Linked DNA regions of Saccharomyces cerevisiae S288C. The protein of the gene in region 1 interacts with the protein of each later gene in a biochemical or structural test. Each region holds a gene or a part of one and is shown in the gene's direction. Other genes may lie near its edges. The genes, in order: STE2, ROG3, LDB19 and MF(ALPHA)1.

Region 1 (4,320 bases):
AGAATTTTCGTTTTTTCTTATTTGAGTCATCCTCGAAGAAATTTCCGCAGCGAATTTTAAAGAAGCACTTTATAATAATACCTTACATATGAGTTTGTTTCTATGTCATGGGTATATAAGGTATATTGTATGCTATCTAGTTGGATGCCCCAGTTTCAAAATGTCCCTAATCGGATCCACCCAGATGTGACTAACGTGGTGCAAATTTATATTTATATGTGATAAGTCTTTCAACTTTGTGGAGATCATGTAACGTAGATTGAGTACTAAACTCAACGACCTTGTAGTCCGTAATTGGTACAGGATAGCTACAATCCCGATAAGTAAAGAAATTTTGCTCCACCTGTTATATTTGGAGGGTAAAAAATGGCCAAGTCTTTGGACCAACGCCCTTGTCTTGGATCTGGCGGCGACACCATGATACTTTTCTTCCTTGTAATGCTCGTTCATCTTTGTTTGTTCGCTCAAATAGAAGATAATGGTGCTCATATCGAAGCATCCTGGCTTTCCACATGCTGTATTGAGTAATGCACTATATTTATTAAGACTCACCCGTTTCAAAGCCTTCTTGCTGGCAGTAGTCGCATCTTTTCTAGTTATTTGCAAGACTTCTTCCCAAAGCGCCTCATCATACAGTTTTTTCTGTAAAACTGTTTGTATAGCACCATGGCGCAGGTCAAAATCGTTCTCGAAGAAATCAGAATTAGCTTCTATTTGCTTCGAAATTTCAGACGCATTTTGCAATAGCAGGTTCTTGTATATGATCAAAGGTAAACGCATAGATTGCATCGATATTGTCATGTCAAATATCTGGAAAAGAATTTTATGAAGATTGTTGTCACCGCTATCTATAGGTTTCAAATTATGTGCAAAGATTGTCAATATTGACCCAATAGCGAAAAGGGGCTCATTTTCGTCAAATTTGAATAGATTATAGAATTTCATGTTTGATTCCTTTATCAATGAAGAGATTACTCTCAATTGCTCAAATGAAAAATCTAGTGAGTTCATCATGAAATCCCTCAGATATAATAGGGTAAATGCTTCGATGCAATAAAACAGCCTTTCCATATCAATTTCTTCTTGCAATGAGAGATTTTCTAGTTCCAGTCCGTTCTCTTTTGTGACATTCCAACTAAAACACATGATGAAAACAGACACAATATCATGATAACCTTGGTAATAGTTCAACGTTGGGTACTTTCTCAATACCCGAGTAATTAACTCCACCAGTAGTTTTCTCAATTGCAGTTTCAAGTTTTTGTCGACAATTCCACCAAAAGACCTTTCTGCATCCAATATCACCTGACCTTCATCTTTATGTTTTTCCACTGGTGTAATGTACTCTGTTGCATCATCAATAAGCAACTGGGACGCCAATAATTCATACCAACAATCTTTTCTTAATGAGTTGTTTACAAACCCCAGAGGCCCTAAACCTATGTACCTCAAAGCTCGGACATCTTTTTTCTCTAATAACTTTGATATAACTTTTCCTTTTTGTTCTTCTGCCTTTCCACTGTCACAACGAGAAAGTGATTCCAGATATGCGTTATAACCTCCCCTTGTCAACGCGTCTTTGTCGTGGCTACTCTGATTAGTATGAAATAATGACCTTAATGGCATCGTATTTTGTTAATTGGCTTGTTCTATGTCATTTGCTAAATTTTCTCTTTATTTCTTTACTTTGCCAATTCAAGATAATCTTCCCTTCCCAGAGAGAAAAAAGGAAAAATTTAGCTATGAAACCTCAATAAGCTTTTTAATACACCAAAGATTCAAGATAAGAGCATAGAACGAACTGTAGAATAGTCCGGATATGTTATCCAATGCCTGCCAAAATGCATTGTCACACGCTGTAGTGCTCGAATAGGTGTTGCAATCCGTCAATATACGTCTTGCTCTGTGGGTAAATGTCTCGTGCATTAAGACAGGCTAGTATAAACGAGAAGAAGTATCCTGCTTTGCAATGAAACAATAGTATCCGCTAAGAATTTAAGCAGGCCAACGTCCATACTGCTTAGGACCTGTGCCTGGCAAGTCGCAGATTGAAGTTTTTTCAACCATGTAAATTTCCTAATTGGGTAAGTACATGATGAAACACATATGAAGAAAAAAGCTTTCCTACATATTCAAGATTTTTTTCTGTGGGTGGAATACTATTTAAGGAGTGCTATTAGTATCTTATTTGACTTCAAAGCAATACGATACCTTTTCTTTTCACCTGCTCTGGCTATAATTATAATTGGTTACTTAAAAATGCACCGTTAAGAACCATATCCAAGAATCAAAAATGTCTGATGCGGCTCCTTCATTGAGCAATCTATTTTATGATCCAACGTATAATCCTGGTCAAAGCACCATTAACTACACTTCCATATATGGGAATGGATCTACCATCACTTTCGATGAGTTGCAAGGTTTAGTTAACAGTACTGTTACTCAGGCCATTATGTTTGGTGTCAGATGTGGTGCAGCTGCTTTGACTTTGATTGTCATGTGGATGACATCGAGAAGCAGAAAAACGCCGATTTTCATTATCAACCAAGTTTCATTGTTTTTAATCATTTTGCATTCTGCACTCTATTTTAAATATTTACTGTCTAATTACTCTTCAGTGACTTACGCTCTCACCGGATTTCCTCAGTTCATCAGTAGAGGTGACGTTCATGTTTATGGTGCTACAAATATAATTCAAGTCCTTCTTGTGGCTTCTATTGAGACTTCACTGGTGTTTCAGATAAAAGTTATTTTCACAGGCGACAACTTCAAAAGGATAGGTTTGATGCTGACGTCGATATCTTTCACTTTAGGGATTGCTACAGTTACCATGTATTTTGTAAGCGCTGTTAAAGGTATGATTGTGACTTATAATGATGTTAGTGCCACCCAAGATAAATACTTCAATGCATCCACAATTTTACTTGCATCCTCAATAAACTTTATGTCATTTGTCCTGGTAGTTAAATTGATTTTAGCTATTAGATCAAGAAGATTCCTTGGTCTCAAGCAGTTCGATAGTTTCCATATTTTACTCATAATGTCATGTCAATCTTTGTTGGTTCCATCGATAATATTCATCCTCGCATACAGTTTGAAACCAAACCAGGGAACAGATGTCTTGACTACTGTTGCAACATTACTTGCTGTATTGTCTTTACCATTATCATCAATGTGGGCCACGGCTGCTAATAATGCATCCAAAACAAACACAATTACTTCAGACTTTACAACATCCACAGATAGGTTTTATCCAGGCACGCTGTCTAGCTTTCAAACTGATAGTATCAACAACGATGCTAAAAGCAGTCTCAGAAGTAGATTATATGACCTATATCCTAGAAGGAAGGAAACAACATCGGATAAACATTCGGAAAGAACTTTTGTTTCTGAGACTGCAGATGATATAGAGAAAAATCAGTTTTATCAGTTGCCCACACCTACGAGTTCAAAAAATACTAGGATAGGACCGTTTGCTGATGCAAGTTACAAAGAGGGAGAAGTTGAACCCGTCGACATGTACACTCCCGATACGGCAGCTGATGAGGAAGCCAGAAAGTTCTGGACTGAAGATAATAATAATTTATGATCAAAATTTACGGCTTTGAAAAAGTAATTTCGTGACCTTCGGTATAAGGTTACTACTAGATTCAGGTGCTCATCAGATGCACCACATTCTCTATAAAAAAAAATGGTATCTTTCTTATTTGATAATATTTAAACTCCTTTACATAATAAACATCTCGTAAGTAGTGGTAGAAACCACCTTTGCTTTTACGAGTTCAAGCTTTTTTCTTGCCATGATCTAGAACTCTCAGGCAATATATACAGTTAATCTTTTTTTACTGGGTTGTAGTTCTAATGTATTGTTTCGAAAAATAGCAACCAGGCACATATTATGTTCACCAAGTGGTGTATCCAGTACAGATTTCTTATTCCATAAATGAAACTGAAAACGGTTAAGTACACAAATAAAATGATGGTAACTTTACCATCCCACGTGTCTAAAGGTACGCTGTTTGGCATTTTGAAAATAGAATTATTTCCAACCAAAAAAATAATTGGTGCCACTGCTAGTATATTGTGATGGGATCTAAATGAAGTTTCCCATTTGATGGCAACATTATGCAGGAAAACAATAATGATAGGGATGTTAATGGCACTAACAAATAATAAAAGCAGAAGCAACGTCATATTATAATTTAGTAAGTTCAATTTCTGCTCGTTGTTTGATAGTTTCAACAGCGCTACTCTAATGCAGGTAGCAATTTGGATTACTAATGAGATAACAAACGCCATCTGGTATGGTATGTGAAAAAA
Region 2 (4,789 bases), 110 kb from region 1:
TAAAGCTCATGCCACCACAAACAATATCACATTGTCAGTTGGTGGCAACACAGAGACCAGTTTCAAGAGAGATCAGCAAGATGCTGGCCATAGTGACATTAGCGACTTGGATCAGTATTCGAGCTTTACTAAGAGGGATGATGCGGATCCAACAAGCAGTAACGGCGGTAACAGCAGTATAATAAAGAATGGTGATGTGATCGTATTCAACTTGGAAACATTACAGCCAACCATGGTCATCGAAGCTCATAAGGGCGAGATTGCTGCAATGGCAATTAGTTTTGATGGGACACTAATGGCTACCGCCTCTGATAAAGGTACTATCATCAGGGTCTTTGACATTGAAACGGGTGATAAGATCTACCAATTCAGGAGAGGGACGTACGCGACAAGAATTTACTCCATATCATTCAGTGAAGATAGCCAGTACTTGGCGGTTACCGGCTCTTCCAAAACCGTGCATATCTTCAAATTGGGGCATTCAATGAGCAACAATAAACTAGACAGCGATGATAGCAACATGGAAGAAGCTGCAGCCGATGATTCATCGCTCGATACCACCAGTATCGATGCGCTGAGTGACGAGGAAAACCCGACAAGACTCGCAAGAGAACCATATGTGGATGCATCAAGAAAGACAATGGGTAGGATGATACGTTACTCTTCTCAAAAGCTATCCCGAAGAGCTGCCAGAACATTGGGTCAGATTTTCCCCATCAAAGTTACATCGTTGTTGGAATCCTCGCGCCATTTTGCGTCTTTGAAACTTCCCGTTGAAACCAATTCCCATGTAATGACCATATCAAGTATAGGCTCTCCAATAGATATAGACACATCCGAGTATCCGGAACTCTTCGAAACTGGCAATTCCGCAAGTACAGAGTCCTACCATGAGCCTGTTATGAAGATGGTCCCCATCAGGGTCGTTTCCTCGGATGGATACCTATACAACTTTGTTATGGACCCGGAGAGAGGCGGCGATTGCTTAATATTGTCACAGTATTCCATCTTGATGGATTGATCACGGAAGTGTCTCGCGCTGCCTTCCGTACGTCACAACGCATACACAATATAGTTTATATAAACTCCTGCGTATAATCTATCCTTTTGCATAATATTTTCGTCACCATTATCTTGTTGCGGTGTTTTTATTTAAAACAATAGAACTCGCCTAAAGGGGAAATTTTCGATATAAAAATTCAAAAAAATGGCTTTCATGGATCGAGTATTTGTTTGTCGAAAAAGGATCACTGGAGTGACGTTACTACGCTACGAAGCCTCCTTCCGGCTTAGCCCTGTTGATTACGAATTTGGATCAGTTGGTATTTGATTCCTCGGAAGAGTTAACTTCACGCGGGTAAATCACTTGTGATGCGGTATATTCTCTATACGGCTAATAGATGAATCAGGGTGTTTTAAAGTGCGTATAAACCCTTTTGCTATTTTCGTTTATATAATTGGCGTTGATAAAGAGCCAATATCTATTGTTGCTACATAGAGGCAGCTCTCTTAGCAAAATAAAAATACAAAAAGTTCGACATGGGCTTCAGTAGCGGTAAATCAACTAAGAAAAAGCCTCTGCTTTTCGATATCAGACTTAAAAATGTTGACAACGATGTAATACTCCTCAAAGGTCCTCCAAACGAGGCCCCCTCGGTGCTTTTATCTGGTTGCATCGTTTTATCGATTAACGAACCCATGCAGATCAAAAGCATATCATTGAGACTTTATGGGAAGATACAAATAGACGTACCATTAGAGAGGCCCCAGGACGCTAGTTCTTCGTCGTTGTCTTCATCGCCGCCAAAGATCAGAAAGTACAACAAAGTTTTTTATAATTACGCATGGGATAATGTTAACCTCAAGGAGTATCTGAGTGGTTTAAGAGGGCAATCTGGCCTTGCGGGCAGTAGCTCATCAAGTAATATCTTGGGCACTCGCCAAAGAGCTCAGTCCACAAGTTCCTTGAAGTCTTTAAAGGGGTCCTCCTCACCCTCTTCATGTACTTTAGATAAGGGCAACTACGATTTTCCCTTTAGTGCTATTTTGCCTGGTTCGTTACCAGAGAGCGTAGAATCTTTGCCAAATTGCTTCGTGACATATAGCATGGAATCCGTTATTGAACGCAGCAAAAATTATAGTGATTTGATCTGTAGGAAAAATATTAGAGTTCTGAGAACCATTTCACCCGCAGCAGTGGAGTTATCAGAAACTGTTTGTGTAGATAACTCATGGCCCGACAAAGTGGATTATTCTATTTCAGTACCCAACAAAGCCGTAGCTATTGGTTCAGCCACCCCTATAAATATTTCCATTGTACCTCTTTCGAAAGGTTTGAAATTGGGCTCAATCAAAGTCGTATTATTTGAGAATTATCAATATTGTGACCCCTTCCCTCCAGTAATTTCTGAAAATAGGCAAGTGACAGAACTAAATCTTGAAGATCCCTTGAACGAGTCATCTGGAGAATTTAATGGTAATGGTTGCTTTGTAAATAACCCCTTTTTTCAGCCTGATCATTCATTCCAAGACAAGTGGGAGATTGATACCATCCTGCAAATCCCGAACAGCTTATCAAACTGTGTGCAAGATTGTGATGTCCGCTCTAACATTAAGGTTCGCCATAAGCTCAAATTTTTCATCATCCTAATTAACCCAGATGGTCATAAATCTGAGTTAAGAGCGTCCTTACCGATTCAACTTTTTATTTCACCATTTGTGGCACTTTCAATAAAACCATTGTCATCCTCGAATTTGTATTCGCTTTTTAGCACCACTAACCAGAAAGACGAAAACTCATCACAAGAAGAGGAAGAGGAATATCTGTTTTCTAGATCAGCATCAGTCACAGGGTTGGAATTATTAGCGGATATGCGTAGCGGTGGCTCTGTTCCTACCATTTCAGACTTGATGACGCCCCCAAATTATGAAATGCACGTATATGATCGTCTTTATAGCGGTTCTTTCACTCGCACGGCTGTGGAAACGTCTGGAACATGTACTCCTTTGGGAAGCGAATGTTCGACTGTCGAGGATCAGCAACAGGATTTAGAAGATTTACGTATACGGTTGACAAAAATTAGAAATCAACGTGACAATCTAGGGCTACCACCGTCTGCCTCGTCTGCTGCCGCTTCCAGATCGCTATCTCCATTACTAAACGTTCCAGCACCAGAGGATGGCACGGAGAGAATCTTACCTCAGAGTGCTCTTGGTCCCAATAGTGGCTCTGTGCCAGGAGTACATAGTAACGTATCACCTGTTTTACTTTCAAGATCCCCAGCCCCAAGCGTGTCAGCCCATGAAGTGTTACCAGTGCCCTCGGGCTTAAATTATCCAGAGACTCAAAACCTGAACAAGGTTCCATCGTATGGCAAGGCAATGAAATATGATATCATTGGTGAGGACCTTCCTCCTTCCTACCCTTGTGCGATACAAAATGTGCAACCAAGAAAACCCAGTAGGGTACATTCCAGGAACTCTTCGACAACATTGTCATCTTCTATACCAACTAGCTTTCATTCCTCTAGTTTTATGAGTAGCACTGCTTCCCCTATTTCCATAATTAATGGCTCTAGAAGTAGTTCTAGTGGGGTATCTCTTAATACACTTAATGAGTTAACTTCGAAAACTTCGAATAACCCATCCAGTAATAGTATGAAAAGGTCACCAACAAGACGGAGGGCTACTTCTTTAGCTGGGTTTATGGGAGGTTTTCTATCAAAGGGTAACAAACGATAGTCGCCGATATTGTTTCGGCTCGTGCATTAAGCTTGTATAGTTTCATATAGAAAGTGATGTATATAGCATTTACGCACTCTAACTGGCATTTTAAAGAAAAAGGGATAAATGCAATGTTTGGCGTGCGGCAGTATAAGTTCAAAAAAATCCACTGCATTGTTGAAAAGAGTCAGGTCGATCCTGCTATTGGTTTTCAGTTTGAGGGATCCTTTGATTTGCTAGATATCATAAGATAAATGGTCCACCATAAAGTAATTAAATCTTGAAATTAAATTCTTATTCCATTAGAGACAGAGAAACTATTCATTGTACATTCTCCAAATGTGGTGATATAAACACTACATTCGCTAAATTACATTATATTATTTCGAGCTTTGTCTTGTTTATATTTAGTTACGTTGGGATCAAGTTTTAAAAAACTAGATCTGGAGTGACCAAAAAAAAAATACCCAGCGTAAGGTAAATATTATGGATATGCTTTGGAAGAAAAGAATTTTGAGACTTACACATTATTCGGCACAGTAGGTACTAGAAAGCATAGAATCACATTCGCCTTTAAAGACATTCTTTTTTCTTGCTCCTTCTATGGACTGCGACACAATAGTTGTTTTTGTGTCGTACCGAAGAAAAAGCCTTGTGCAGAAAGCAAAAATAGTACACTTCTAGCCTTGATTACCAAGAGTTATGACAAAAATTTGCAGTTCAGAGTATACCTTAAAAACTGTTCCTAAGGTCAAATAAAGAGGAAAATAATCAAACTAATTATTCATTAATTGAACGAACCAATAATAACGAGAGAATCAGTATCACAAAAAAAATTTCAACCTACAAGAGGAAACATGTATTCTATTTCAAACAAAAAACCTTCTATACTCAGTATGGTTCCCCTGAATATTTTGAAAAACCAGGATTTGAAAGTAAAAAAAGATCAAGAAAAGAAAATATCATTTAACCCCGTAGTTACTCCTATTAGGCCAGACGACTACCACGAAAAAACATCCAGATCGTCAAGTTCGAGCCATTCTGATTCACCTGAATTTTTGAGAAT
Region 3 (5,313 bases), on another chromosome or scaffold:
TTTTACTCGTTAAAAAGTCAAAACAAGGTCACTTTACAAAAATGGTACGCGTACAAAGATAAAATCACCTCTGAACATAATAATATACATCTATATACATATATATATATATATATATCACACATCAATCAACGCGCATGGACATTTGAATCAATGGGGCAGGAAAGGCGATGCAGTGGCCAAATTTCTTTGTTCATTTGTGGCGTTGGGTCAATGAGTCAAAAAATGAAAAAAGTCGACAGACGTTTTTCAAAAAGCTTCAAGAAAAGAAGAGAAAAAGTAAAAGCGTATTGGTAAAAAGAGTAAGAACAAAAAGGAGCACAGGCAACCAATATAAAGATGTCCAGTTCACAACAAATAGCCAAAAATGCCCGTAAAGCAGGGAATATTTTGAAAACCATCTCAAACGAGGGCAGATCAGATATTTTATACAAAATTCACGATGCCCTGAAGGCTAATGCGCATGCCATTGAAGAAGCGAATAAAATCGATTTAGCTGTTGCCAAAGAGACTGGCCTAGCGGATTCTTTATTGAAACGTCTCGACCTATTTAAAGGGGACAAATTTGAAGTTATGTTACAAGGTATTAAGGATGTAGCCGAACTAGAAGACCCTGTTGGCAAGGTTAAAATGGCCAGGGAATTAGATGATGGCTTGACGTTGTACCAAGTAACCGCTCCAGTCGGCGTTTTGTTAGTTATCTTTGAATCCCGTCCAGAAGTTATTGCCAATATTACCGCATTGAGTATCAAGTCTGGTAATGCTGCAATTTTGAAGGGTGGTAAAGAGTCTGTGAACACGTTCAGAGAAATGGCAAAGATCGTTAACGACACCATTGCACAATTCCAAAGTGAGACTGGTGTTCCTGTGGGCTCTGTGCAATTGATCGAAACCAGACAGGATGTTTCCGACTTGTTGGATCAAGATGAGTACATCGACTTAGTTGTTCCTCGTGGTTCCAATGCCTTAGTCAGAAAAATCAAGGACACTACAAAAATTCCCGTGTTGGGTCATGCGGATGGTATCTGCTCAATTTACTTGGATGAAGACGCAGATTTGATTAAGGCAAAAAGAATTAGTTTGGATGCAAAGACTAACTACCCAGCTGGTTGCAACGCTATGGAAACGTTGTTGATTAACCCAAAATTCTCTAAGTGGTGGGAAGTTCTGGAAAACTTAACTTTGGAAGGCGGAGTGACTATCCACGCTACAAAAGATTTGAAAACTGCGTATTTTGATAAACTGAATGAGTTAGGGAAATTGACAGAAGCAATTCAATGCAAAACCGTTGATGCTGATGAGGAGCAAGATTTTGATAAGGAATTTTTATCCTTGGATTTGGCTGCCAAGTTTGTTACATCTACAGAATCGGCCATTCAACATATAAATACACACTCTTCGAGACATACCGACGCTATTGTAACGGAAAATAAAGCAAACGCTGAAAAATTTATGAAGGGTGTCGACTCCTCTGGTGTTTACTGGAATGCATCAACTAGATTTGCCGATGGTTTCAGGTACGGTTTTGGTGCTGAAGTGGGTATTTCTACCTCTAAGATTCACGCCCGTGGTCCAGTTGGCTTGGACGGTCTGGTGAGTTATCAATACCAAATAAGAGGTGACGGCCAGGTTGCTAGTGACTACCTTGGTGCTGGTGGTAACAAAGCTTTTGTTCACAAGGATTTAGATATAAAGACTGTGACATTATAAAAATTTTTAGGATAAAGCTAAGTTCCATGTATGAAGGACGTGTATACATAGTTCAGTAAAGCCATCAAATAAGTACTCTTGTCAACTCATTCTATGGTGTGATAGTTAATTGCTTACTTGTATCGCTATTAACGACTTTTTTTTTCTTTTGGCGGAAGCTTCAAGACAAAAATGCGATTTGAGCTGACTCGAACACTTATTAAACCAGACGGAAAAGCACGACTCATACATATCATAGGCAGTTTTTACTAGGGCTCCGAATACTTTGAATAATAAGGTTGATTAAGTTTGTGTGCTTCATCCAATTAGCTTTCAGTTTTCCTTATTTAAGCTTCTGATTTCGGAATCAAAAGTTGAGCAACGTTATAGCTTGCTTTTTCGGAGGAGAACGCTGTTGTTCACATTTCAACACCAGAAATTGCTGATTTTTACTCCTACTTAGTATACATTTCACTAAACAATACGTTTTACCATGGCATTTTCACGTCTTACATCTACTCATCAGTCCAATCATAACGGCTACAGTAATAGCAACAAAAAAGGACAAAGTCTTCCACTAACCCTTTCTATTGATGTAGAATCACCGCCATGTGTTCTTTATGGGTCTGCTATGGAATCCTCAGGTGCTGTGCTAAGTGGACTTTTTACTGTGACGGTTGTCGATCCCTACAGTAGTGCTGAAGATAAATCTTTAAAGAATACAGAATCTAATGTGTCGACTACTTCTAAAAGCCTAAAAAGAAAGAGTACATTTGGTTCTGCACTTTCATCTAGATTGTCCAGCTTGTCAGCGTCGACGTCAAATATCTCTCCTTCAACATCTTCTACATCCATATCGCATTCTCCCACGCCTGCTAATTTAAGAATAATGGCTGGTTATACCAAGATCACCATTACGTCGGTAACACTAAGTTTGGTACAGAAGATCCATTTCCATAAACCCTTTGTGCCTAATATTTCCTCAATGCAAACCTGTATGAACTGTAAAACAAAGATTACAAACATGAAAAGCTGGGAAATTCAGAGTAATACCCAGGATCTTTCTGTTGGAAGCCACTCTTACCCATTTTCCTATCTTATACCGGGGTCTGTCCCATGTTCTTCATCGCTAGGTGCTACGGCTGAAACCCAGGTCAAATACGAACTTATCGCTGTTGTGACGTATATAGATCCTCATAGAAATTCCTTTTCTTCCGGTCATTCTACTCCCAGGAAAGAAGGAAGCTCTTCTAAGAAGCGGTTGTTGCAACTAGCGATGCCCATCGCCGTGACTCGAAGTATACCGCGCGGGCCTGATAAGAATTCTCTAAGAGTATTTCCTCCTACAGAGTTAACTGCTGCTGCTGTTCTTCCTAATGTTGTATATCCTAAATCTACTTTTCCTTTGGAGATGAAATTAGACGGTGTTTCTTCGGGGGATAGGAGATGGCGAATGCGTAAATTGAGTTGGAGAATTGAAGAAACTACAAGAGTTAAAGCACATGCTTGTCCAGTGCACAAGCATGAATTGAGGCAGTTAGAAGAGCAGGTTAAAATAAAAGAGTCAGAAAAAAGTAAAAAGCCACGCAGTCATATTAAGCGTTATGGTGAACTAGGCCCACAAATCCGGGTTGCAGTAAACTCTTTAGAAAATATGCCGTCGCAAAGGCTTCCAGGCGAGCCCGGTCGTGAACAAGCACCTAATTCTTCGGGTCCAGCGTCAACTGGTAATGTTGGACTTGATGATGAAAATCCTGTTAATGAAGATGAGGAAGACCAACCCGGTAGCGAATTCATCCATCCCAGTGACGACGCTTTGCGTCAGGAGTTACTAATGCAGCAACAACGCGCAAGACAACAACAACTTCAACAAGAGCTAAAAAACAACAGTAGTTTATTTACGGAAGAGGTTCGGATAATATCTAAGGGAGAAATGAAGAGTGGATGGAAAACCGATTTTGACAATAATGGAAAGATTGAGCTAGTTACAGAAATAGATTGTATGGGACTTAATTCAGGCGTCTCTAATCCGGTAATGCATGCATCGACACTACAAACTCCTTCCACGGGCAATAAGAAGCCCAGCATCAATGTGGCTTGCGATATACAGGATCCAAATTTAGGTTTGTATGTAAGCCACATCTTGGCAGTGGAAATAGTTGTTGCAGAAGAAACATTGCAATATGCCAATGGGCAACCTATACGGAAACCAAACTCCAAAAACAAGAAAGAAACTAATAACAATACGATGAATGTTCATAATCCTGATCAACGCTTAGCTGAATTATCTCCAATTTTTGCAAATAGAAATACACCGAAAGTACGGCGCATGGGGCCTGAAGATATAACACCGGTGAATAGTAATAAGTCCAACCATAGTACTAATAAGGAGAAGGCATCTAACGGTGCTAGTAACTCTAATATAGTGAGTGTTCCCACTGGTGCAGCACGTGTTTTAAGAATGCAATTCAGATTAACAGTCACTGAAAGATCTGGACTTGGAATCTCCTGGGACGAAGAAGTTCCTCCCATTTACCAAGATGTCGAGTTGCTCTCGCCACCATGTTACGAGCTCTCTATAAATAATGGAATCAAAAATAAACTTTATTCAACAATGAGTACTCCTGTTAGATCAGAGGATGATTTTGTGGGCGGCAGCGATGAAGATATTGGGAACTATGAGAGCCAAGGGCTCGAACCTGGTCCTAACGTACAGGAAGTAACGATCACACAAAATAAATTAACGATACCACCAACCGCACATCACTACCAGCCTGCTTCCTCTTCGCAAAGATCCCTTACCACAGTACAGTCACCACCACTGGAAAGTGTTGTTAGTGTCCAGGGTAGTGTACCTTTTCGTGGACATGTGTTGACACCACATAGCACAAGAGATATCAGAATACAAAACTTTTCCGATTTTCTAGATTCCAATAGAATAACCCAGTAGATTTTATAATATTCGTTAAAGGTATTTACCATATATTTTTATCTTAGATACCTGAAAACTACAAATCTGATCAATAAGCAAACCCTGACCATGATTTGATGCATTTCACAGATAACTACATACAGGCATTGTTTAACACTTGAGCATTTTTTTTCTCGTATTTTCTTAAGGCTGGACTGGATTAATATCTTCATTTCGTCGTAGGTACATAGCTTTGTTATGATAAAGAAGAAGGCATAAGTCGAAAAAGATATTTCGCGCATCAATTAACATTTTTTGTGTGGTGAAGAAAAGTTTTTGATCATTCTATATATCTATGTGTTACGTATATCTTCAACAATCTGCCACGTAGGTAGCCATGCCAAGTACGCGTAATCATCTACTGGACCATCCATCCCAAAACTAAAAGGAGAGAAATAAAAAAATCCAGCGATCACGATTGATCCGTATACAATATAAGCTCCTAGCCTTAGAAATTTTCCAGTGTTTCTTGTAGCCCAACGTTTGGTAATCATATCGAAGTAGTATGACAAGATCATTAAGGCAAAATAAAGGGTGGGCAGATAGTGGTGAGCGTATACAACTCTTGACATCACTACGAATGGCATATAATGTAAAAGCCAAGCAAGCAATGGATAAAAGGCTGCCATAACGAACACGTCACGTTCGACTGG
Region 4 (3,509 bases), on another chromosome or scaffold:
CATTATTCGCTGTTTCATAAATAAAAGGATAAAAAGGTTAAGGATACTGATTAAAATGTTTGTCAGGGTTAAATTGAATAAACCAGTAAAATGGTATAGGTTCTATAGTACGTTGGATTCACATTCCCTAAAGTTACAGAGCGGCTCGAAGTTTGTAAAAATAAAGCCAGTAAATAACTTGAGGAGTAGTTCATCAGCAGATTTCGTGTCCCCACCAAATTCCAAATTACAATCTTTAATCTGGCAGAACCCTTTACAAAATGTTTATATAACTAAAAAACCATGGACTCCATCCACAAGAGAAGCGATGGTTGAATTCATAACTCATTTACATGAGTCATACCCCGAGGTGAACGTCATTGTTCAACCCGATGTGGCAGAAGAAATTTCCCAGGATTTCAAATCTCCTTTGGAGAATGATCCCAACCGACCTCATATACTTTATACTGGTCCTGAACAAGATATCGTAAACAGAACAGACTTATTGGTGACATTGGGAGGTGATGGGACTATTTTACACGGCGTATCAATGTTCGGAAATACGCAAGTTCCTCCGGTTTTAGCATTTGCTCTGGGCACTCTGGGCTTTCTATCACCGTTTGATTTTAAGGAGCATAAAAAGGTCTTTCAGGAAGTAATCAGCTCTAGAGCCAAATGTTTGCATAGAACACGGCTAGAATGTCATTTGAAAAAAAAGGATAGCAACTCATCTATTGTGACCCATGCTATGAATGACATATTCTTACATAGGGGTAATTCCCCTCATCTCACTAACCTGGACATTTTCATTGATGGGGAATTTTTGACAAGAACGACAGCAGATGGTGTTGCATTGGCCACTCCAACGGGTTCCACAGCATATTCATTATCAGCAGGTGGATCTATTGTTTCCCCATTAGTCCCTGCTATTTTAATGACACCAATTTGTCCTCGCTCTTTGTCATTCCGACCACTGATTTTGCCTCATTCATCCCACATTAGGATAAAGATAGGTTCCAAATTGAACCAAAAACCAGTCAACAGTGTGGTAAAACTTTCTGTTGATGGTATTCCTCAACAGGATTTAGATGTTGGTGATGAAATTTATGTTATAAATGAGGTCGGCACTATATACATAGATGGTACTCAGCTTCCGACGACAAGAAAAACTGAAAATGACTTTAATAATTCAAAAAAGCCTAAAAGGTCAGGGATTTATTGTGTCGCCAAGACCGAGAATGACTGGATTAGAGGAATCAATGAACTTTTAGGATTCAATTCTAGCTTTAGGCTGACCAAGAGACAGACTGATAATGATTAAACGCTCTGAATGCAAAGATTCAATGAGATTCTCTAAGAATTCTATTGATAAGATTTAAAGGTATTTGACAAGTAGAGATCTTTATTTTTTCTTGCATTTTGTCTAGAGAAATCTCAACTGACATACTCGACATGAAATTTTTGGTATTGTGTCTTTTATTCTATTGCTTTAAGAAAACTGTGACATATAGGGAAGACATGCTTAACAAGAAGATATAATTATATAATATATATATTATTAATAATAACATCCTTACTGCAGTCCTGTTGTGGGAGAAAATGGAGAGAGACTATGTTTCGTATCAATTCCTAAAATCAAAAAAAAAAAAAAAAAAAAGTTAAACAAGCACTCGCTGTTCATTTGTTTTACAAGTATTCATACTCTAATAGGTCATTGAGCTTCTTTTCTTGAGGAGAGATCCAATTTGAAGTCGGAATAAGATTTGCTTTCATTAGCGTAGGCAATAATTATGAGATAAATGGTGCAGCACTATTAAGTAGTGTGGATTTCAATAATTTCCGAATTAGGAATAAATGCGCTAAATAGACATCCCGTTCTCTTTGGTAATCTGCATAATTCTGATGCAATATCCAACAACTATTTGTGCAATTATTTAACAAAATCCAATTAACTTTCCTAATTAGTCCTTCAATAGAACATCTGTATTCCTTTTTTTTATGAACACCTTCCTAATTAGGCCATCAACGACAGTAAATTTTGCCGAATTTAATAGCTTCTACTGAAAAACAGTGGACCATGTGAAAAGATGCATCTCATTTATCAAACACATAATATTCAAGTGAGCCTTACTTCAATTGTATTGAAGTGCAAGAAAACCAAAAAGCAACAACAGGTTTTGGATAAGTACATATATAAGAGGGCCTTTTGTTCCCATCAAAAATGTTACTGTTCTTACGATTCATTTACGATTCAAGAATAGTTCAAACAAGAAGATTACAAACTATCAATTTCATACACAATATAAACGATTAAAAGAATGAGATTTCCTTCAATTTTTACTGCAGTTTTATTCGCAGCATCCTCCGCATTAGCTGCTCCAGTCAACACTACAACAGAAGATGAAACGGCACAAATTCCGGCTGAAGCTGTCATCGGTTACTTAGATTTAGAAGGGGATTTCGATGTTGCTGTTTTGCCATTTTCCAACAGCACAAATAACGGGTTATTGTTTATAAATACTACTATTGCCAGCATTGCTGCTAAAGAAGAAGGGGTATCTTTGGATAAAAGAGAGGCTGAAGCTTGGCATTGGTTGCAACTAAAACCTGGCCAACCAATGTACAAGAGAGAAGCCGAAGCTGAAGCTTGGCATTGGCTGCAACTAAAGCCTGGCCAACCAATGTACAAAAGAGAAGCCGACGCTGAAGCTTGGCATTGGCTGCAACTAAAGCCTGGCCAACCAATGTACAAAAGAGAAGCCGACGCTGAAGCTTGGCATTGGTTGCAGTTAAAACCCGGCCAACCAATGTACTAAGCCCGACTGATAACAACAGTGTAGATGTAACAAAGTCGACTTTGTTCCCACTGTACTTTTAGCTCGTACAAAATACAATATACTTTTCATTTCTCCGTAAACAACATGTTTTCCCATGTAATATCCTTTTCTATTTTTCGTTCCGTTACCAACTTTACACATACTTTATATAGCTATTCACTTCTATACACTAAAAAACTAAGACAATTTTAATTTTGCTGCCTGCCATATTTCAATTTGTTATAAATTCCTATAATTTATCCTATTAGTAGCTAAAAAAAGATGAATGTGAATCGAATCCTAAGAGAATTCAACAGCGTAAAATACAAAGAGGATAACGACAACGAAAAAAAATACACTCCCTGATTATGATGCCTCTGAGCTTGACATTTTCGTTGTCAACCAAGAAAACCATGAGCCAAAAAAGCGTCCTAACGCTCCCAGTAGCTTTTTCAAAACACTTTCATAATCTTCAGTATTGGCATCGCCTTCTTTTACAATTGACTTAGCGTTTTGATCGGCGGGTTTATCTATTTTCTGTATTTCTTCTTGTTCGGACATATCCGTATTTTCAGTATCAGAACCGTTGATCTCATGTTCTGATTCTTGCGTGTCGGTGACGTCTGTATCTTCATTAACTCTTGTGTTATCATTATCATTACCTTCAGATAGATTGTCTAAACCTTTGTCCTGTTTATTCTCTGTCTGTTCCTG

What was found.
Region 2: the proteins of STE2 (region 1) and ROG3 form a complex in vitro, tested with the Saccharomyces cerevisiae proteins (one study listed by BioGRID).
Region 3: the proteins of STE2 (region 1) and LDB19 form a complex in vitro, tested with the Saccharomyces cerevisiae proteins (one study listed by BioGRID).
Region 4: the proteins of STE2 (region 1) and MF(ALPHA)1 form a complex in vitro, tested with the Saccharomyces cerevisiae proteins (one study listed by BioGRID).

What each region holds. Positions count from the first base shown.
Region 1 is NC_001138.5:80,287-84,606, forward strand, and holds STE2 (alpha-factor pheromone receptor STE2), read left to right. Parts: upstream 1-2,293; coding exon 2,294-3,589; downstream 3,590-4,320. Other genes in the region: GTPase-activating protein GYP8, read right to left, coding at 133-1,626; BST1 (Bst1p), read right to left, coding at 3,859-4,320. UniProt on the Saccharomyces cerevisiae protein: Fungal class D1 G-protein-coupled receptor that acts as an alpha-factor pheromone receptor performing pheromone-dependent signal transduction involved in cellular conjugation, mating projection assembly, and in cell fusion.
Region 2 is NC_001138.5:195,294-200,082, forward strand, and holds ROG3 (Rog3p), read left to right. Parts: upstream 1-1,539; coding exon 1,540-3,741; downstream 3,742-4,789. Other genes in the region: phosphoinositide binding protein ATG18, read left to right, coding at 1-1,021; PES4 (Pes4p), read left to right, coding at 4,581-4,789. UniProt on the Saccharomyces cerevisiae protein: Involved in resistance to GST substrate o-dinitrobenzene (o-DNB).
Region 3 is NC_001147.6:917,932-923,244, reverse strand, and holds LDB19 (Ldb19p), read left to right. Parts: upstream 1-2,182; coding exon 2,183-4,639; downstream 4,640-5,313. Other genes in the region: FRT1 (Frt1p), read left to right, coding at 1-13; PRO2 (glutamate-5-semialdehyde dehydrogenase), read left to right, coding at 340-1,710; dolichyl-phosphate-mannose-protein mannosyltransferase PMT3, read right to left, coding at 4,954-5,313. UniProt on the Saccharomyces cerevisiae protein: May be involved in protein-linked oligosaccharide phosphorylation since the deletion reduces the negative charge of the cell surface.
Region 4 is NC_001148.4:191,351-194,859, forward strand, and holds MF(ALPHA)1 (Mf(Alpha)1p), read left to right. Parts: upstream 1-2,297; coding exon 2,298-2,795; downstream 2,796-3,509. Other genes in the region: POS5 (NADH kinase), read left to right, coding at 56-1,300; UIP4 (Uip4p), read right to left, coding at 3,162-3,509. UniProt on the Saccharomyces cerevisiae protein: The active factor is excreted into the culture medium by haploid cells of the alpha mating type and acts on cells of the opposite mating type (type A).